Styela clava: one gene and its partner. The main gene of each other region encodes a partner of the protein of the gene in region 2 in a complex. Links are inferred from orthologs where the notes say so. Each region holds a gene or a part of one and is shown on either strand. Other genes may lie near its edges.

Evidence for each region. The genes of interacting proteins can lie anywhere in the genome.
Region 1: the proteins of rab3 GTPase-activating protein non-catalytic subunit-like (region 2) and rab3 GTPase-activating protein catalytic subunit-like are in contact, whole or in part, in a cryo-EM structure (PDB 8VYB), measured with the Homo sapiens proteins. The link is inferred for Styela clava from reciprocal best matches to the Homo sapiens genes RAB3GAP2 and RAB3GAP1. Residues at the interface, in NP_036546.2 of Homo sapiens: Arg197, His198, Pro199, Gly200, Ser276, Pro277, Phe278, Asp279, Met281, Lys282, Ser285, Asn286, Ile287, Gly289, Phe290, Asn291, Ala292, Ile294, Arg377, Phe378, Gly379, Leu380, Pro381, Asp382, Arg385, Cys395, Thr397, Leu398, Arg407, Arg415; in NP_036365.1 of Homo sapiens: Thr19, Ser21, Trp23, Glu24, Glu142, Ser143, Asn146, Leu147, Leu149, Ser150, Ser153, Ile154, Ile169, His170, Trp173, Arg174, Met176, Arg187, Asp189, Glu191, Met192, Val193, His194, Leu195, Arg196, Pro199, Tyr202, Ile211, Ser214, Lys215.

Annotation. Positions count from the first base shown.
Region 1 is NC_135264.1:14,170,101-14,181,030, reverse strand, and holds the start of rab3 GTPase-activating protein catalytic subunit-like, read left to right. Parts: upstream 1-6,474; coding exon 6,475-6,689; intron 6,690-7,435; coding exon 7,436-7,624; intron 7,625-8,100; coding exon 8,101-8,285; intron 8,286-8,459; coding exon 8,460-10,930. Other genes in the region: thioredoxin reductase 2, mitochondrial-like, read right to left, coding at 25-109; dixin-like, read left to right, coding at 1,931-3,841. UniProt on the Homo sapiens protein: Catalytic subunit of the Rab3 GTPase-activating (Rab3GAP) complex composed of RAB3GAP1 and RAB3GAP2, which has GTPase-activating protein (GAP) activity towards various Rab3 subfamily members (RAB3A, RAB3B, RAB3C and RAB3D), RAB5A and RAB43, and guanine nucleotide exchange factor (GEF) activity towards RAB18.
Region 2 is NC_135251.1:16,307,290-16,318,893, forward strand, and holds the start of rab3 GTPase-activating protein non-catalytic subunit-like, read left to right. Parts: upstream 1-6,221; 5' UTR 6,222-8,588; coding exon 8,589-8,691; intron 8,692-9,195; coding exon 9,196-9,275; intron 9,276-9,982; coding exon 9,983-10,103; intron 10,104-10,838; coding exon 10,839-10,923; intron 10,924-11,558; coding exon 11,559-11,604. Other genes in the region: uncharacterized protein LOC120335522, read left to right, coding at 1-5,190. UniProt on the Homo sapiens protein: Regulatory subunit of the Rab3 GTPase-activating (Rab3GAP) complex composed of RAB3GAP1 and RAB3GAP2, which has GTPase-activating protein (GAP) activity towards various Rab3 subfamily members (RAB3A, RAB3B, RAB3C and RAB3D), RAB5A and RAB43, and guanine nucleotide exchange factor (GEF) activity towards RAB18.

The sequences.
Region 1 (10,930 bases), on a different chromosome or scaffold from region 2:
CTAAAACATAATATTAAAGCTTACCCGAAGAAAACTTTCGCAAATGTCTCCACAGAAGTCTCCGGTAAGTCGGACAAAACCCCTCCAATCCTCGTAAAGTCAGCATCATAAACCCGCTTGTTGGCTGAGATAGAATTAAAAAAATCCGCGAGATGGTACAACTGCGCACTCCTGATATTTCAGTATTTTTCAATTCTTCAGATTGCTTGTGATTTGCTTTGTCTTCGTTTGTATTTGGAAAAAAAAAGAATTTTCACGGAGTGGGAGTGGGCTAAACTGTTTTACAACTGGTAAAACGTTCAGGGAATCAAAAATACTGAAATCAAAATTAGCGCGTCATTGACCGCGACGTCACTCAAAACACTTCGCTTTGGTTTTCCGTTTGTCTTGTTGTTAAGCTTTTTACTAAATGGTAATTATGACGGATTATCATATTTTGTAGTGGACCAAATTTTCAATTTGGGCTCAATCAAGTTAACGATAATTTTTAGTTACCTTGTTAGTCATTAATTGAAGAATTAGGCATTACGTCTAAGAATTTAAGCTCGTTATACTTATAGCCTACAATCCAAGTGCTGTGCATTTTGACATGTTCAATTAAGTGGAATTCTCCGTTTAATACTGAATTTTAATGTGATCAATAGATTAAATGTATGGTTCCATTAATATTCATCAGATAATTAGCGGTATTATCCATTTAAATGCCTGACTAGGATACTGAAATGCATTTTGTGAACCTCGATCGGATTTTATCTTCGATAATGAATGAGATGATTCATTACGGTACCGGTACTGGTGCGCAATAGAAGATATAATGGTGATGCAGTATATTATATAAGTGTATCGCAACTTTCAGACCAGACAATTTGCTAGTTTCTACATCTGTAAATGGTAGACCTGGTACCACTTTCCTTTTAAATGCTGTAGATATGAGAGAAAATATAGCTATATAGTAAAAATAGTCAGATAGTAAGTTTATCAACTGTCATGTACAGTTTATCAACTGTATTAGCATGATAAAAGGGTATTAAGAAATTTCAGACCAGGGAATTCCAGAATAATTTAAATTGGATATATTTGATGATATTGTAAATCATTACAGTGTTAACCTTCCAAAGTGAATATTTTTGAACATAAATTGGCTTGTGCCGAGTTCCTTGTTTATCTTTACCAAAATTAGAACATACGGTATTTCATTGTCCGTTGTTCAGTAATTGAAAATATTGTTCAAAATACAAGATCACTTAATTCTGGCCATCCATAGTTTCGAATTTTCTATTTTTTTATCATAAAACCTAATAATTTTGTTTCAAACTAATCATTCTCGCATAAATCAATAGGGCCCAGTTCTCTCATTCCAAGATGTCTCGACTCCAATAAAACAAACACTTCAAAAGAGGCATCTGGCATGTTGGCAGATGCGCCATGCTTGCTAATCTGCAAAAACTCTTGAAAGCTTCGCTAAATTTTTTTTCTTAGGTAAATCAAATTATTTTTCCCCCAAGAAATCCAATTGACGTTTTTAGATTGTGCTTTCGTTTAGTTCATTGCGTAGTGCCAGTTTGTCGATATGGAGGTATAGATTGTCTCGTAAAGGAGTGGTTGGCACTCATTGCTATAATTGATGTCTTTCAATGTGGGTCTATCCCAGATTCGGAGAATTGTGTCATACTGTAAATCAATATCAGGGCAATTAGAGTCTGATATTAAAGGAGCCTTCTTTTGAGTGAAGGTGTGAAACATAATTAAATGGTAATAAAGCGTACAAGGTACCGAATATTTCTGCCTTGGCGATGTCTATTTCAAGGGTTGTCCAATGCTCTGAATTCATACTTGTCTTTCTGATGTTTTGATTGTATTAAATTAAAATTGATATTTTCATTTTTCTTTTTGGATATTATCGATATAGTATTTTTCTAAAAAAAAGGCAATGTCTGCCGCTACTGATGCCAATAACAGGCAGGATGCTTGGGACAATGAACAGAATGAGGAATATCAAAAACAAATTGAAACTTACATTGCTTGGGTTAACAGCCAGCTTAAAAAGAGAGCAGGGAATAAGCCTGTAACGGATTTAAAAACAGATTTCCGTGATGGAGTCGTTTTAGTTACACTAGTTGAAATTATTTCCGGAGAAAAATTGGATGGAGTTTATATTCCTGCGAAAAATCTTGAAGAAAAAAGACGAAATATTAATTCAGTATTAAAGTTTTTGACGAAGAAAAGTATCCGAATGCATCACATTACTGAGAAAGATGTAATTAATGGTAATGTCAAAAGTCTGATGAAATTAATTCTGACCTTGGCCGCACACTTTAAACCTGCTAGTGTCGGAAAAAAGAAAACGGTTAATGCAGCTGCAGCAGCAAATGCCAAAGTTGCACTGAGTGATATTCACAAAAATGTAAGCTTATCTGGAGGTTTTCGCCCTCGTTGGAAGAGCAGCACCCCTACCTCAGACTATAGAAGAAACAATAATAGCAGTTCCAGTTCATCCAGAACCACATCAAACCGGTCAGATCTGCCAAAAACTGGTTCAGACGAGACAGATTCATTTTCATTGAATAAATTATCTTCTTCTGATGACGTTTGGGCATCACCAAGTTTACCTCAGCGGTCCAGTAGAACTGGCAATGATTGCCTTGCGACAACAACGGTGCAGAATCTCTCTTCTATAAATAGTGAAGTTATACTGACATCTGGTGGAAGCAGGGATGCATCGAATGTTTCTGAGCAATTGACGGAACATTATAATGATTTAGAAAGTGATTTATCGAGCACTTGTGATTTAATATCAGTGTTACAAAATTTACTTTTAAATGGAGAGGAACCAGGCGATGGTGATAATGAGCAGAGTCTTCCTTTAGAAGCTTCTTCCCAAGACGAAGAAAACGTAATTCTAAGAAGTCGACTTGATTTGAGTCAACATGAAAATAATCGATTGAAAACCGAACTTACCGATGTACGACAAGAATGCAGGAGTACATCAGCAAACATATCAGCGCTGCGTAGTCGTACGCAACAACAAGAAAAAGAGCTCTTGTCAATGAAACAACAAATTTTGAAATTAAATTTGGCGAGTGATAATTTGAAACAAGAAAAAGATTATTTAGCAGCTCAAATAGAGGAAAATAAACGGGCAAAACAATCTCTATCAGATGAAGTGTCGGAAAAAAATATTACCATTAAGCATTTAAAAGATGAACTAACTTCAATGTCTACACAACTCAAAAAAATTGGAGACGAAAGTAAGAGTAAATTAACCTCTATGCAAAGGTTGGAATCACAAGTACAAGAGTTAAGTCAACAATTACGGGTTTTACAGCGTTATAAACAATCAAGTAAACCAGAACGAAATGGTAATGAAACGACTGTCATTTCAGAGTCTCTAAACAGCCTTCGTTCGAATTTAGCACCTCATGATTCACGACAACACATTATTGACACGCTTGAACAAGCAGTGATGTCATTAACGGAACGAGACCAGCGTAACAACAACCAGAATTATGGTCGTAAAAGTGAACTATCAGTGCCACGTTTATCTGCGAGTCATTCACCTAGAAATCGTAAAAAAGACATGGCGCAAAAAACTGCGTCAACGACGGTTATTTACTTCACAGAGAGAAACATGACGCCAGCCAGAGCTTCAATTTTTAAAAAAATTGGCGAAATAACTTTGCGAGATTTTAAAAGTGTAATTCAAGTACCTGCCGATAATTACAAATTCAATTTTAAAGCACTTGACCCAGAATTTGGGACAGTAAAAAAGGAAATTTTCAATGATAATGACATTGTCCCTGGTTGGGAGGGTAAAATTGTAGCATGGTTAGAAAGAGAATAGACGCTAGAACTCAGATTCACACAATTTTTATTCTTTCAGACCTTAGCCCACTGTCTATTCAAGTATCCCAATTCAAAAACTGTATTTTAAAGTTACATTTTTCCAAATTAAATTACTGTTGTAATACTTAGAGCCTATAATTCCGTTATTTATAGAAAAGCTATTTTCTGCAATAGCAGTCTCATTTGCTAGGTTAATGTATTAATTAGTCTTTATATAAATACCATTATACTGTAGGAGTCATTTGCTAGTCTTCATTAAACTGATCGTATATATATATGTATTCATATGATAAAACCAAAAATTGCTCAATATTGTTATGAAATAAGTACTAAATAACATATTGTTTAATCAGTGGAAGATGACAATAAATGCATTCAAATAAGATCATTTGAAAATACCATTTTGTGAAATTAACTCATCATGTAGTGGAATCTTTAATTCAATTCATATAATTTGGGTTATATCATGATATCAATGAAAAAAAGGCTTATTAGGAATAACCATTCTGTTATAGACATTCATATACTACTGCTATAACAATTTATATCATTCTTTATTGGTGCTGATGACAAAGTATTTTATTTCAAGTGTTTAAGTGTAATTTCATAGTTCCGAAGACATCGCCTACCTACAATATAATATATTTCAATGCATTGCCGCAGTATTATTGAATAAGCTTCTGTCACATTTTAAGGTTTTGCGAAAATCGCATTTTTCTAATTTCCATATCTTCATAGCAGGGGTTCTTAACTTGGGGCCGCAGAGCAGTTGGAGGGGGGGCCACAATTCTAGGGTCTTGAGGGCTAAAAGCCTCCGGGTGGGGGCCACGAGCCATAAACGGTTGGGAACCACTGCTTTATAGCAAAGTCTAAAATTGACATAAGGCACTAAGATAAATACAACTTTGAAACTTATACCGAAGGGGAGACCCTGTCCATAATAACAGAAGATTAATAAAGTCTGTTTCTGAAATGTGACATATGCTACTATAATTTTACTGTGGTTACACAATATCAATTTTGTCTACACATTTTTACTTCGAGGGTATAATTATCTGCATACCTCTTTTGTATGAGCTCCAATTTCTGTTCTTACAGCATTTCCGTATGATGTAGTAAATAAGTAAATAGTTCCATTTAGGTACTGTAGTTCGTTTATCTTAAAAAATTTCTTCAGTATTTTGAAAATTTTAGCATAGTTGCCTTTTTGTATAAACTTTTTGCGAAGGTGTTATAGTTACCTAAATAATTGGTGTTGTGTAATTAGTATTGTGTACCTAAGTTGTTAAAATGACTTCATAAACTGTTTCATTATGCTGTTTAAAATGAGTCTCAGTAAGCATTCGAAAGGACCAGAATCATCTAGTTTTTTATATAAGGGGTTGGGCTCGGGGGTTCAGGTCTTCCTACTTTTCATAGTTGCCAGTATTGCAAAATATTCTGGAATCAGAATGAAAAGTAACTTTCGTACCAAAATATTATTTTTTGTATGTACATTTGGTTTATGTAATCCATGGCATTTCATGATTACATGACATTACTGTGTTCAAAAAATGAATCTATGACAGCTAGGTTTTTTGATTAACTTTTTATAGTGTTTACAACTTCATTCATAAATAGTGGCATTCTAGTTAATAAGGTTACTAAAAATACAGGGGTTCTCATGGGTAAATTTAACTGCTTTGAGGGTTATTTACATTGAGGGTACTTACTCATCCTAATACATAGTGTTAATTTTATCCATATACTACAAGTTGTGGAAGTGCATAACACCTGAATATTTTAGAGCATAATTGACCTAATTGAAATGTATACAATATTATCAGATTTGAATTCTATTGTTATATTGTAATGGTTATTCATATAAGTTTATTTATTAAACCACGCACTGTCCGTTCTATTAAATATTTAATGCATGATTTAATATTTATTAAATCCGGTATTTAATTATCTCCTGTGTGAGATTTCAATTATGAAATCAAGAAATTGAGCTTTCCTTACTTTTCATCCAAAGAGAGAGAAAATTTGATTTTAGGAAACTTGAGCATATGGCAGGCAATATCTCTGATGTCTTTTACCAAATAGTGGATTTTATAAACCTATTTCTTAAGCTATGACTCCATTTAGAATACTAAAATTCATTCAAAATCATAATAATATACCAAACTTTTCATTTGATTGTTATGTATTAAATATGATTTATCCTCAAGAATTGGCGATTCCTAATTTTGGAATTTAAAACAAAAGTAAAGTTGAGGTATAGACATATTCCATTTTGGACAGATTATTTAAAAACTGTCATTGCATTGTGTCTGCGATACACTCTATAAATTCCTCAGAATTCCTCAAATGCCTCTGTTTAACTTGAGGATGCTGATTCCTGAATCTCTAATCTATTTTGAACTTTTCTATTATCTTGAACTGTTTATTTTCATATTATTTCTGTATTATCTATTTAAACCCTATATGTCATACTTCCACTTTTTCTCCCGAATAAATATTATCTTAAATGATACCTATTTTCGAAATGATATATCTTTATTATTTAGCTCATTGTGTTAAAAAATCCTTTAATTTTAGCAGATACATTTTACCATGTAGCAAAAACTTTGTGGAAATTGATAAAAAAATATGGCGGACAGTCCTTCGCGGAGTAATTCCATGGAAGAAGATGAGGAAGTGTTCGAGATTACGGATTTTACAAATGTCTCGGATTGGGAGAAATTTATTGCTCAGATATCTGAAGCTATTTCTGATTGGCAATTGACTTGTATTGAGCATGTCAGGCCGTTGAAGAAGAATGAATTAACTTTAGGAAGTTGGGAACAAGTTAGCAGAGAAATAAGGTAATGGGTATTGATTTTTTACACTAGATAATTGGATTATAAATCTCTCTTCGAAACGGTTTCTAATCTTAATTCAGGGAATGTATTGGCTTTCATGGACTCTAACAACCTCAACAAGAATTAGAAAAATGAACACACACTTTGCATCGAATAAATCAATGTTAACATTAATAATCCTTTGTCAGATATTCAAAACTCAACTGCTCTAGTGAAACATAATTAAATAATTCATGGTAGTAGGATTGAAATTAATATGCTGTACCCAACAATCGCACACATGTATTATGTGAATGGATACTTGAGATTCTTTGATTGACTCTCACATTACAATATAAGAAAGGTATTTTTCATTCTACTCATATAAGGGCTCTTTAGTTTACAATTTTGAATTTCTTTTGCTATTTCAGAAGCTAGAGAAATATCCTATTGAGCTTGAAGCTTTTTTAATATTGTTTGAAAGCTTATCAAAGTATTGTTTATAGTCTGTCATACTTTGGTAAATAACAAATTTTAGGCAAAAATAGGACCTGGCCTGACCCGAACCCAATTTGTTTGTAATAATAATAATCAATAAAACATAATAGAGTAGAAAATGGATCGATTAGGAATACATTCTGCGTTCCTGGTTTAAAACTATTCTAAGAGGGTATTTGAATAGTATTTCATTCGATTTTCACTGTCCTAGACTTGACAGTGATAAAATTTAATACAGTCCATAATCTGACAATACTAACATTTATTTACAGGTTTTCGAATGCTGTCTTCATGTTGACGTTATATCGACTGAAACAAACTGGTCGAAATGAAGATGAAGAAATCTACCATGAAGAATCTGAAACAACTCTAGAAGATGAGCTGTGTTTACCTGTGTATATGGACGATATGATGTCAACTAATAATGATTTTCCTCCAAGAGCTCATTGTCTTGTTCGATGGTACGTCACAATGTCTCAAACTAGATTTTTGAGCCACAGAATATTTTTTCATTATATTTTGTTTGAAATACCAAATGTTTTTCAGCTATCTGGATTTTATGTCTTGAAACCTCTAATTGGGGTCGTAAAACTTCAGAGTTTACTGTCAAGTGTTGACAGTCTCATTTTATATTCAATTATTGAAACACCGTAGCCTATTTCAAATTACATGTCCCGCTAAATTTTGTGCCCAATATTATTTTTTTGCTCCGCTCATGCCATTTAAAACTCAATATTAATCTTTCCTTGTTCTGAATTTAATGTTGTCAGGCAGCATAGCAGTAGACTAATGGGGTCGTAAAATTTCAGAGTTTACTGTTGAGTGTTGACAGTTTCATCTTAAAACCAAATTGAAATCAAATATTGCTAAATTTTATGCCCAATATTATTTATCTGCTCTGCTTGTGCCATTTAAAACTCAATATTTCCCATTTTAGGTACGGATTCCGATCTTTCCTTGTTCTCAATTTAATCTCGTCGGGCAGCAACGCAGTGGACGGTTTGACAAGCGAATCAAAATGCAACTTGCTTCTCAGCTCGGCATGTATCGTATTATCAGATTCCGGGTGTGAAGTCCCAATATTTATTCAGATTCAACAAAACTGGAGAAAAATGTTTACAGGTGAAGACAATATTTCTGGACCTATTTCTAAGTAGCTAGAAGTACTACGATTGAGGTTTTATGTGTTATCATATGCATGCACATTTAAGCATTGAAGAAAGATAAGTAGTTAGTCTCATAGAAACTCAATCATCGGCACTAGATATTAAATTAAATATAATTTTTTTTTTTCAGGAAGATGTGTTGGTACTGGAATGCAGACTGAATTTGAGATGATTCATTTGAAGAAATCCCCTCCTCAATATCAGCATTTATCCGGTTTGCTTCATATTTTCAAGTCAAAAATAGGGCGGACTTTATCACCAGTGCAAATATCAGCACGGTTCACTTACGTATTATCAAATTGGGGCGAAAAGGGGGCGTGGCCACAGGAACAAGTAGACCCAGACATTGCTGCACAAACTTTCGATAAATTCCTATTTGGATGTTTGGACGACCCAATAGGTGATCTTCAACTTTCAGCCATGTGGCCGGCGATTAACGAAGGTCTGATTGTGGAAAACGACGTGCACTCTGACTTTAAACCAATCTCGGCACCGGTGTGGACAATAAGACTCCATTACACTGATAATCCAGAATGCCTGTTAAGCGGTTACATTAAAGAAATGTTGAAACTCAGAACATGCAAAGAAAGCTTTGGTAATTTAGTCACGACAGCACCGAAGTCGCAAGATGCAGAACAAGATATAAGTCAAGCGCTAAATAAAATGACAGACCCGTCTCATAAAGTTAAACAAATGGTTCCACTGATGCCTGAATTTACATCTGGTCTTTCAAAAATTGTGACATCACAAAGATCAATGTGGTCTCGGAGAATGCAGGTTTCATCTTATGCAACTCTCGGCCCGATTTCTCAATCAATGATTGAACTTATTATGGAATATTTGTTACCTGAAGCTCCGTCAAATGAAGGTCAAGGGTCGTCCAAAGGTGTCAGTAGTGAGAATGAAAAAGGTACTTTCGTACATGAATTGGAACATCAAATTAAATCTGCTCCGAAAGATAGCTTGACGTATCGCCTGGCGCTTTGTGTTACGGTGATTAATTTTTGTCACGGGGGAGTTGCAGCTATTGCTCAAGTTTGGCATGAATTTGTGCAAGAAATGCGATATCGATTCGAGAACGGAGTTCTTTTGTCCGGAATTACTTCTGGGAATCCAGATTTACGATGTTGCCTTTTTCATCAAAAGTTGCAAATGCTTAATTGTTGCATCCAGCATAAAATCAATAGGGAGAAAAACCAGAATTCTGTGATTGACGATCTTCCACAAGAAGATGAAGATTCAGAGAATCTTGATAAAACTGAAAACAAAGATGTAGATTCTTCAAATGAAACTAATATGGAAAAGGGAGAGGATTCTAAGATTCAAGATAGTTCTCCTGAAATTTCATCTGCTCAAGATCTAATTTTATCAAATGAAGAGTCTCCTAAGCAGGAGGATGATAGTGATAAACATAAAGATCCAGGTCAACTTCCTAGAGAGGATTCTACAACCTCTATTGGTGCAGAATCTGCTCCTAGATCACCAGGATGGCAAGAGGAAGTGAGCTCTATTGATGATGATGAATTTTTTGAGTGTGATGAAGGGGGTTCGATACCAGACCCGGACGAGGTTGATAAAACTGTAGAGGAAACTACTTTGCAAGAACAAACAAACGAAGATATTGCCAGTATTGAACAAAACGTGAATGCTGATGATATAGAAATTGATGAAGTAAATTTATCTGGCGATAATTCCAGAAATAATGAATTTCCTGAAGAGAAATCAGATTTACAAGATAATATAACGGAAAAAGAAAAACCGATGGATTCTGAAAGAAATATCACTCAAATGGATACTGAAGAGCCTGAAAGTTCTAGACCTGAGAATAGCGCTGATAGTATTAAAGATTCCATTGCTAAAGAGAACACAAAGCCTATGGGAAGATCCAAGCGATTTGGTTCTGCCAGACTTTTAAATGTTGATGCATATTTGTACATTCCGGTCACACAAGAATCTGCACCTTTAACGGAAGATGCATTAGAAGAACAGACCAAGATCTTCTCCAGCTTAGGGGACTCTGCTGAAGGTGCTTTGCTTCGTAGAAAAATGCAATCGGCGTCGCTGCTTTCTGACATGGAGTCTTTCAAAGCTGCCAACCCCGGATGCGGACTTGGTGATTTTGTTAGATGGTATTCTCCGAGAGACTATGAAGAGAAGACTGATGCTAATGGCGTCACCATAGGCGCTCTTTCAGAAAGAATGCAAATCCCTGGAAATTTATGGCAAACTATGTGGAATAGCGCTAAGCCCATACCAGCACGTCGACAAAAACGTCTTTTCGATGATACAAAAGAGGGTGAAAAAGTTTTGCATTTTTTATCGTCTCTGCAACCTAAAGATTTGGCTATTTTACTTCTACCAATTTGCTACCATGAAGCAATCTGTGTTCTCCAAAGCAAGAGTGATTCTAAGGTGTCGAGCGTGCCTTCTCTCTGTAACCAAATCTTGACTCAATCGTCTAAATTATTCCAAACGCATTACAAAGATAAATGGGAGCAAATGGACGACATTTGGCAAAAAATACAGTTTTCGGAAACTCTCATTGAACGTGCGATGTCCCTAAAGCACAAATTCGCAAGTGTTAAAGACGCGGAAACATTC
Region 2 (11,604 bases):
CAAGGCCAGGGAGATGATTCAAAGCTTCAAAAAAGGGTCAAAACCTTAGAAGAACAACTCAAATTTGCTAAAGATACTTGTGAAGGTCTAAGAAGCCAAGGTGATGCTTTACAAGAACAACTTAGTGAGCGATTAGAAGAATTAGAAAACCTGAAAGATTCGAACGTTGCGGAAAAGTCGAAACTTATCAAACAATTGCGTGAAGCAAAAAACGTTATTGAGAAAATTGAAGAGGACAAAGTCACTGCTGTTGCAGAGGCCAAACGACAAATGCATGAGATTCTTGAAGGTAAAGATATCGAAGTAGAATCCTTACATCAACAAGTCAAGAAACTGCAAATTGATCTTGATGAATTTAAAATGAAGAAAGAGCAACGGGAAAATTCTTTGTTGGAGGAACTTCAAAAGGCAGTTACTATTGGTAGAACAGCAGAAGCTCAAAGAGCTGATGCTTTATTGAAAACTGAAACTATACAGAAAGAAATGGAAGGCAGAATTACAAAGATTGAAGAAGAATTTGATGCGGAAAGAAAAACTTATGTTTCTGAGGTTTCACATGCAAAAGCTGATAATCTTGATATTAATGAGAAACTTGAAAATGTAATGAAAAAACACAAAAGTGATTTAGAGGCTCATACAAAAATGCATGAAGTTGCATTGCAAGAACAAGCAAAGAAATATAAACTGGAATTGGATGAAAAAGAGAATCAAATGAGATTAGCAATTGAGGAGAGAGAGCTGAATAAAATGGCTGCAGTCTCACAACAAGACACTGAAGCTCAGAATTTGTTGAAACAACTAGATACAGAGTTGGAGAATGTTCGTCAAAAAGTGGAAGAGCTTGAAAAGGCAAGAGTGGATGAGGCCAACAAACATGAAGAGGAAATTACCATTCTAAAAGACAATTTTCAAAAGGCGAGTGAAGAACATAAATTCGAACTTGACAGCCTTAAAAAATATCATGATGATCATATGACTTCGAAGGCTCAAGAGTTTTTAGAAAAATTCACAAATCAAAAGAAAAAGTTTGAAAACAAACTTCAAACAAAAGAATTGACATGGACTGAAAAGTTAGCAGAAGCTGAGAAATCATACTTACAAGAAGTTGACGATTTGAAAACACAAGTAAATGAACAAGGTAAAGAGAGGAACGAACTTTTTCAGCAACAAGCAGAGAAGGTTTCCCAACTCGAAAAAGAAGTCACTCTGTTGAATTGTGATAGGGAAGCCTTAAGTATCAAATTTTCGCAAATAGAATCTAAACTTTTTGAAAGAGATACACAATTGAAGGATTCTTTAAACGAATTAGAAGAAATCAAAAACAGTGCAACTAAAGAAAAAGAAGATTTGAATTCGAATATTGAAGCAAAAGATAACATAATTAAAGAACTAAACAGTAAAATGGAAAACTTGCAGCAGGACTTTTCACAGAAAGAACAAGAAAGCTTACAGCAGAATGAAGTTTCTCATGGAGAACTTGAAACGTTGCAGGAAAATCTGAAAAATTTACAATCTCAGAAACAGGAACTTGAACAAGCTTGCAATGCTGCTGAAGAGAAATTGAAACAAAGAGAACAGACAATGAAAAAACATGTCTTGGATATGGAGGAAAGCCATAAATCTGCAATCGGTGATTTATCATCACAGTTAGATAAAGAAAAACAGGAATCTGTGGTGAAAATTGCTACTTTAGAAAAAGAGAAATTGGATCTTCAGAAATTACAAGAAGAAACAAATAAGAAATTTCTTGAAGCTGGTGGAAGATTAAAAGCACTTGCCCAAAAATTTAAAGCCACTGTTAAAGAAAACCAGACGACTGTGACAGAGAAAGAATCTATGATTGAGAAGTCTAAAACGGAATTAAATGAAATCAAAATAAAATTAGAACAACTGGAAGGACAAAATAGAAAAATGGTTGAAAATCATGAAATGCGATTGAAAACAATGGAGTCTGAATGGGAAAACAAACTGAAAAATGAATTAGAAGGCTTGAAGGAGAAATCTGAAAAAGAATATGATGCGTTAAAAGAATCAATGATAAACACTCACAATCAAGATTTAGAATCATTGAGGAATAGTTTGAACAATGCTTTTGATGAGAACAAAAGTCATTTAGTGGAAGAATTAACGAACAAATTCAATACTGAAAAGCAAGAATTATTAACTGAACAGAGGAAGAAACTTGACACTGAAATGAGGAATTTAGAGATGAGGCTGCAAAGCGAAACATCTGATGCCACTGACAAAGAAAAATCTCTTCTACAGTCCCTTCAAGAATGCCATGAAAAAATTACTGATCTCGAAAACGAGCAATCACAAAAATGTAAAGAACTTTCTGAAGCCCATGAGAATTTGGCATGTCTCCAAGCAGATTATAAAACAAGTACTGAAAAGTTTCAGAGTAATGAGATTGAAGTAACGAATCTAAAACAGAAAGTAGATGCTGCTGAAGCTGAGCTTTCCCAATTTAGAAAGTTAAACTCTGATAAAGAATCTCAAGTTGAACAATTGATGAAGGATCTTGATATATCTAATGATAACTTAACTCAGTTACAAAGTGAAATAAAAAATCTTCAACAGCAATTAGAAGACAAATCTAATGAAGAAAAGAAAGTTGCTACTGAATTGGATGCCAAGATTTCAGAATTTAATAAACTGACGGAAAATTTCAGTGCTCAGTCTATTCAGTTAAAAGAAGTTCATGCCAAAATTTCAGAAAATGACAAGTTTTTAGAAAGCTTAAAATCAGAAAATAAAGTACATTCAGGTAAATTTGAAGCTCTGACGAAAGAGCATGCTGCTGCTTTGGAAAAGCAGAATAGTGATTGGCAAACAAAATATACTGAATTGAAATCTAAAGCCGAACAAAAAATAGCACAACAACACTCTCATCTCAAAAATGCCAAAGCTGAATTAACATCACAGCTAGAAACAATCCACAAACTTGGTGAGGAAAAGGCCTCTGCTGAAAAAAATATTCAACACCTTACTGACAGTGCAAAGCTTGTACAAGAAAATTTAACCCTTTTGGAACAAAAGCTTCAAGAGACTGAAAGTAAACTTATTGAACAGCAAAAATTTTCTGAGAAAGTTAAAAAGGATGCAGAAATTGCAGAACATTCGAAAAAAGACATTGTGGATGATTTGCAACTACAAATAAAAAACATTATGGAATCTTCTAAAAAACAAAGTCGAAATTATGATGAAATGATCAAGAAATTGGAAGAGGATGTAAATGAAAAGAATGAAAAAATTATGGAATTTGAAAAAGAAATTGAAAGTTTGAATTTGAAGCTTTCGGATGTCAATTCTTCATTTGATGGTTCACAAGTTCAGTTGAAGGAGAGAGATTCAACAATTTCTGATTTAAATGAAAAGCTGGAAAACATGAAATTAGAAATTGAAACTAAAACTGAAGACCTTGAAAACTGGAAAAAAGAAAAATTGGAAAACGATTCTTCAATGAAACTAACGCAAGCGGAAAACAACGAAATGGCAAAATCTTTAGAAAAAGTCAAAAAAGAACTTGCAGAAAAGGATGCCATTGTTGTTGAGAAAACAATACACTTGGAAAAAGAATCTAAAGAACAACTAGAAGCTCAAACTACGAAATTAAACCAAGAACATCAAAAGAAAATGGCAGATTTGAAAAAGAAAGCTGAAGTTAGACTCGCTCAAATTAAAAATACTTTTACTTCCCAATTAGAAGAAAAACTGAAATTAATTTCTCAGTTAGAAGATGACAAGAGTTCTTTGGAAGAGCAAATGGTGCAAGCCTTAGAAGAAGCTAATAAAACCAAAGAAACTGCTATTACTGAGAACAAAACATTGTTGACTGAATTTGAAAGCTTGAAAAACCAATTTGAACAATTACAAAGTGAAAAACAAGAAATGCTTTCGGCATGGGAAAAAGAAAAATTGGAAATTGAAGCTAGAATCAAAGAGGAATCTGATAAAAATATTGTCAATATGATGGAGGAAGAAAAATTAAAGTACGAGGATGAACAAGCTCAACTTGCCGAAGTGAAAGATCGACTTGAACAAGTACTTCAAGAGGCAAAGCTAAAATTGCAAGAAACAGAAAAGAAAATGGATGAAGAAAAAGATCGATCGGAAATGGCACTACAGGAAGAAAAAGAAAGGAGATTGCAGAGTGAAACACAATTGTTGGTAGCAAAAGAAGATTTTGCAAACGAAATAGAGAATTTGAAAAATAAACAAAACTTATCAGATGCTAAAATTCTTTCCCTTGAAGAAAGTTTAAAGAATATGCAAGAGACTATTGACAGCACGGAAAGAGAAAATTTGAATATGATATCAGCTCTTGAAGCCCAATTAGATGCTGCTAGAAAAAGAAGTGAAAAGTTGGAGAATGATAGAGAAACTGTAAAGCAAAATTTAAATGATACAATTGAAGATTATGAGAGGAAAATGCAGTCATTACGAGATGAAATCAGTTCATCGCAAAAACAAATGGAGGTTTTGTCTAAAACTTCAGTTGAAGATAAAGATGTGGAAGTTGAAAGAAAATTAGGAAACTTAAAAGAGGATTTTGAAAGAAGGTTGCGAGAGAAAGATGAAGAAACAACAAAGAAGATCAAGAAAATGATGACTGAATATGAAACGCAAATTCAGAAAAATAACGAGAGTTTCGACTCAAAACTTGAAAAAATGAAGAAAAAAAATTTATCATTTGAAGATTCAGTGCGATCTGATCATCACAAGGAACTAGTTTTTCTGCAAAGAGAAATTCAAGGAAAAGAAGAGAAAATGGAAGAAGTTGTCGAAAAGTACGAGTCAGAAATGCATGAAATGGAAAAAAATATGTCCGAACAAGTTGATAAAGCCATGTATCGTGCTATGACTGCTGAAAAAAAATTACAAAGTGCAGACATGGAGCAAGAAAATGAAAATTTGAAAAAACAACTAGCGGAAGTGAATAAAATTCTTGCTGATACGCAACAGAGGGAACGCGAAAATGAAATGATGCTTCAGTCGTTCCAAGCGAGAGTGTCACTTGCCACACCTCTCGCCGATCCAGATAAACTTGAATATCTAAGGAGGATTTTGTATGAATATATTATGGGAAATGAATGTGGGACTATGGCAAAAGTTTTAATACTTCTACTGCAATTTAATGAACTTGAATCACAACAAATTCTCGAAAAACATGGCTTAGCACAGAAATAACGCTATAGATTGGGGTACAAGACTTTAAGAATTTTCGTGAATGTGTCTCACTGTTTTTATCATATAATATATATACCGTACATCATATATGTTTTTTTTTTTGATACATTCAGGTATGGACCACCAACTATTTTATCACAAAATTTATTTACTTTGTGAAATAAATCGCATTCATTGAACAAAATTGTCTTTGCTAAAATATGTGTTTATAAATTGAAAGCAAGTCTATAATATTATTCGAAAATTCTAAAACTGATTATATCTCTCATTAGTTTTATAGTTTAATGAAACATGTTTCAATTCTATTCTGCGATATACCTATACGGTGCTATTTAGGTTGCTTGGTAGAAAGTATTGTTTTGGTACATCTACCATATTGTTTGGTATATTGCATTTTCACACTTGTGCTCATGTTATTCTTTTCATACCTGAATTTGGATTTCTTGTTATATTGATTTGTTATTCCATAAGCATTATTAATATGTGTGATGTTCATGTCCCATGATATTTCATTTGCTAAGTGCAATATTCGGAAATTATAAGCACAGTTGGTTGCTTTTATTTTAGATTTAAAGCAATTTTCAATGATTCATTCTTGTAGCAAGTTACGGTAGCTTTGGAGATGCTAGCCTAATTTATTATTCTTATTTTGAGTCTTTATAACAGGGGTCATTCATTTTGATGTTTCAAACAAAGACGCTTTGGGAATATATTTATATGCCAGCTGGGGTTTCGATTTTCTTGTATTTCTAAAGATGCATAAATTGGAATTGTTTTACTGTGTGAAAATTATGAATATGTTTGAGTACTATTCAAATATTGCTCCTAATTTCTGTTTAGTTAAGAATTTCTCATGAATTTGAGAACCGGTTTTTTTCTATATAAAAAAAAATTAATCATATTTTAAAAGATACTGTTTCCACATGCCTTAACTTAAACCTATTTTTAAGTGGCTTTGTAACTCGTCTATAGATGCTATATAAAGGGTGCTTTAAAAAACAGAACCCAGATCGTTTGCAACTTGCTCTAGAGCAGTGGTTTTCAAACTCTTTGAGGCCGCGCCCCCTTTTCAGAATTTGTCAAGTCTCGTGCCCCATCTCAAAAATATAACTAGCTAAGAAGGCTACAAATAACAAATAGTAAGGCAAAATTTTATTCGAAAAACATGTTGAAAATACATAGATGGAACGTAAATAGTTGAATAAATGGAAAGTTTTAAAAAACAAATAAGGCGCGCAAGATCAAATCTATCAATTATTTTTAATTAGCTTCACGCCCCCTCGAAAAATTGTTTACCTCCCCCTTGTGGGGCGCGCCTCACCACTTGAGAACCACTGTTCTACAGAGAACATAACTTTGTGCAAAGCATCTTAGAGTGTTCAAGAAATTTATGAGTTGTTTTGTACTCATTGTATTTTCGTCAAAAATGCAGTATTGCCCAATCCCTTGGCATAGTCTTCATTACTGAGAAAATGTGCAAATTTAGTTGAAAATTTCACTGGAAATTCCCTAATTTGACATATTGTTGGATTTTATCTTTGGTATTGTAAAATATTTATAACATAGCATTGATCAATAGAAATACACAAGATTATACTCTTGTGTTTTATTCAAGTGGGATTAAAACAGATAATGTTTCAATACGTTTTGAAGCCACTTCACAGGTTTTTACAACCACACGCTTGTTTTGTTATTATCTGAGTATTTAAACAAATGCTTCATGTTATATTATATACCGTATCTAATATACAGGGTTTTCATAAAGTCTGAAAAATTTTGAAATTTAATAGGGAATTCATCAATACCATATATAGTTTGTATTGGTAAAAAACTCAAACCCTGATTAAAATCAAACAAACCTTGTTAAGATATATTCCATAACAAAATTGTAATTGGACTTTATGAACACCCTATATATTCAAACAAGATTTCCAATTGCCAGTAAAACGGAAAACTTATCCTTGTCCTACTTCTATTCCCATGCACAGCCAGAACTGGTAAACTGACGAGAAGGACATGAATTCAACCGTACTTTTGTGCCAATCCGTCCATTAAATTTTATAAATTTACCATTGCCTTTTTTAGTAATAGTGCTTTAGTGTATTCGCGTTTCGTTAATATATCAGTTTTTGTTGGTCTGCTCATTATAGATCGTGAATTCAGAAAAAATTTTAATCAATTGTAATTAAAACCTTATTCAATACTGCATTGCTGAAAGTGTGATTTTTCATGAAATTTATTTTTCATATCTTTAAAAAAGTTGTGTTGTATAGTTTTTTCATGCACAGCTTACTGAATTTATTGCACGTTTGAGGAAAGTGTTGGAAGTGAGACTTGAACCTGGTATCTCTAACCTGTATCGCCAACTTGGTTATGTCTGTAATTCCAATATAGTAGGCCATCAGTGTTTGTGCAATTTCACGCTATATATTTGTTTTATCATTTTATCAACATACATATTGTATAAATTGTACATAAATAATTTTTCCATATATGTTATGTTGTAGTACCATCCGTACTACTAACATCTGGAAATATAGTTTATATTCAAGACTTCTGCTTTATAATTTGAATTTTTTTTAAACCTTGAATGTCACGTTAGATCATGTTACTATTTTTCGTACTGTCTGTTGAATATATTTAGTAGCTAGAGATTTCAAATTTTTTCTAGTATATACCCAATAGTTTGAATGTTAGCTATTCTAAATGCAAGTTTTATAGATTGGTCCAGAGATTCCCAAACTTTTCAAACTTCATACATTTACTTTCTATATTACATGTTTTTCTATATGACATGTTGGAAGTAATATTTGACATTTCAATTTTGACGAGGAGGATTTTCATAATATATGCACATTGAATCAATGCGATATATGGGGTTGTTTTTGTACATATAAACAATCGCAAGTTTAGGAAATTTTTTAGAAAATGATTTTATATTTCGACTCACACTCAAAATTATGTCACACTACTGTGTGACACACAGTTTGGGAACCACTGGCATAATCCAAGCAGTTGGTTATGTATTTAGTAAACACATTCATTTTCTGTTTTCATTTTCTGTCTATATTCTTTGCATATATTTGAGATTTGCATTGTTTGGAATTTTCAATCTAAATTTTGAATTTAGCATTTGTCCTCTAGTATAATATCTGTCATCTCTATCTTTTGCTGTACTGAAATTTCATTTCAAATCATGATCTAACGATTATGTGCTGGTGTTGCTAATTCATGCAAATGATATATGGTTTATCATTGGCTTTTCTTTGATTGGATATTGTTTCATAGATGTTATATATTCAATTTATTTTAAATCATACATCCTTATGTGCCTTGTTATTATATTTACAGCCTTACATTTGCAAGATGTTATATAATTTCATAAATATTAACTAGATATGGCTTGCAGTTTAAAACAAACTTGTGTTATTGAGGATGTTACATCTGTCAGAAAATATTTATTTCCGGTCAGAGATGCAGGAAATGAACAGCAAATGAAAGGTTTGCTATATTTTATCATCTAAATACTAATAGTTGGGAATTGTAGGCTTGGATGTTGAAACAGTAGAATACTTGGATACATTCAACATCATCACTAGCTGTTCATGCCACTGCAAGCAGATAGCCTCCACATTTGACGCCAGGTACTCCTCTTTCGAGCAAGTTGCATCCAGGTTTGTGCTGGTGGATTCATGTGTGAATAATGCATACTCTTCTGTGTATGACCATTCTATTCAATTCAATAGTCTTGTTCCATATTAAAACAAATTCATCAATTACGGTAATACTATTCAAATTTTTATATTGGCTTCAAGCTCAAATTTACAAATTGTGCTAAAATTGCTACCATTTTACTTTTTTTTAACATGGCTTATTTGTACGTCTTTCACTCTAAACAAAGCTCTGCACAAGTAGCAATTGTTAAGGGTTAGTAGCTAACTACTATATGGAAGTACTCGACATGGCTGGTATTCGAAAATAACATCTAGCCTATATTATATATAGATAATGATGCTGATGGATGGAATGAAGATGATTGGGCGAATAATTGGGAAAATGACAATGAAGACAATAGCAAGCAAAAGGTTGCTTAAAAATTATTTAATAATTGATAATTTAGTAGTGGACAATTATTTCAGGGAGAACATTTCACTTTTCATTCTTTTTAATCGAAAAAAAGATATCACTTTTAGAAGTCTGAATAATATAAATCATCAGAAATTGAGACAATTTTGCTTTTAGTGGAATTTTAATCACAGATGGCCAAAGTCTAATAACTTTCTATTCTGAACACATTCTAAAATAATGTTCGTGATTATCGAATATATTTCCATGTTCAGCGAATAACATGTTTTTGATAAATTTTGGAAAGTAAAGTTATACAGTTATTGGATTGGATTTATATTTTTTGAAGTTTTCATAAATAGGATATTTAAATTACTGTAAGGCATTTTTGGTCATTCTGTGACATTTAAAATTATAATTTCAAATGAAACTTTCAGTTCATTTTTAGAATCAGGATTTTAAAATATTGAATATAATAAATAAATTGATTCGAATATTTCACTTGCTTGAGCAACAATGGGTTGAAACACACATTTTCATATGATCTTATTTCACAGCTTTTGCTCTGAATAAGGGTCTGTATAAGCAGCCACTAATGATGTAAGAAGCTAATAATCTTTTCAGTTCAGCATTGACTGCCCAATTTAATATGAGTGTATTGTTTTACCTGCTAGGCCTTCGCACCAACAAATATTAATATTTTAAATATTATTTCTTCTGGTATCAGGATGAGAATGATTCTTCAGATGATCAAGAAAATAACTGGTTCCATAAATGCCAGATAGCATTCTCACCTACCTATGATTTGTTGGTAATAGGTTATGCTGGAAAGATCATTCTACTTGCAGGTTGGTTGTGACAGAAGTTGAATTTTTTAAAAAAAAACTCTTTTTATTTTGAGAATTGTCAAAGAATATTTGATAATAATATTATGTTTGAAAGAATAGCAACTCGATCAATATAGACTATGTTTCTGAATCCTAATCATGAATCTGATTATTTAACCATAAACACAGGTGCTATGAATAGAAATGTCCTTGATTTAAGTTTCGAAATTTTTTTAATACCAATATACATATCAAATTAAATTTTGCAAATGCGATTGATAAGAACACTGCTTTTTTATGAAATGGCTTTTGCTCAGAACAACCTACATTACAATGATTAATATTTAGCGATATTTATTAAGGGACTCTTATTTTTTGAAACACCAGAATCTTCCCTGGTTCTGGTATTATACCGTGGTTGACGGGATGGTCATGATATTTGAACCATAGGTGTGTTACCTGCGATGTGAACTCAGTTAATAAGCCTAACCCTTTAACCGCAAAATTAGTATAGGCTATTATTTATAGATTGTGATTGTATCAGAAGTAACGCGCATTTTGATTTGAGAACACCAAATTATTCAAACATCGATAGTTGAAAATAGTTCGTATTAATTTATATTAAATATATTTCTTACTTTCCAAATGATTTTTTGAATTTAGAATTCAAATTTAGGTTCAATTTGTTTCAATTAGATTCCCGAGATTTATACCATAACAAATATCTTTTTAATGTCTGTTATTGTTGCTTTACAGCCAAATCTGAGGGTCATAGTGCAAGAAGCCATGGGACTAGAAAATACAAAATTGCAACACAAATGGAAATATCAGAAGAATCGGGGTATATTATTTTTTACTCTCAGTTAATGCAGAAGCTAATCGTTAGTAATTGTATAACAGTTTTTATACAATATTATACTCTTTTCTCTTGGAGCAAGGTCCTATGTTAACGGCCACTCATATCTAAGGATCACAATGAGCTACTATTTTTGAGAAGGACCGGAATTTGTCCCTTTAGTACACCCTGGTAACGTTGTGGCCATGAAATTTGAAGTCTAGATGTGTATACTGGAATGCCAATACGGCCAAGTCTAACGCTTCACCCACTGGCCAATGCGCCCACGGTATAGACAGAATAGGCTTAGTTTCTCACCCTTAAGTGAAAAATACAGCTATTTTTCATGTTTATTCTTTTTGGGAGATATCTTGGATTGTCACATGGGCCTATTTAATATATTCAGGTTTTATGCAAACATCACTTTTGCTATCTGATAACAGGCTGTAAATTGTTACCCTATATTTAACATGACAATTTTTGAACATCCATGTTATCAAATGCTTACCGGTATGTCTTTTTCCCCAATTTCCTATTCAAGATGGGGAAAATGGAAATTACTCTATTTGAAGAAATGAAAAAATTCTCAAATTTGGTAAATGCTTCTATTTTATGGGCTTGAAATAAAACCTTTTATCCAGGGAACACATCACAAGTATCCTTTGTATTCCTCTTGTATCTTTGAAG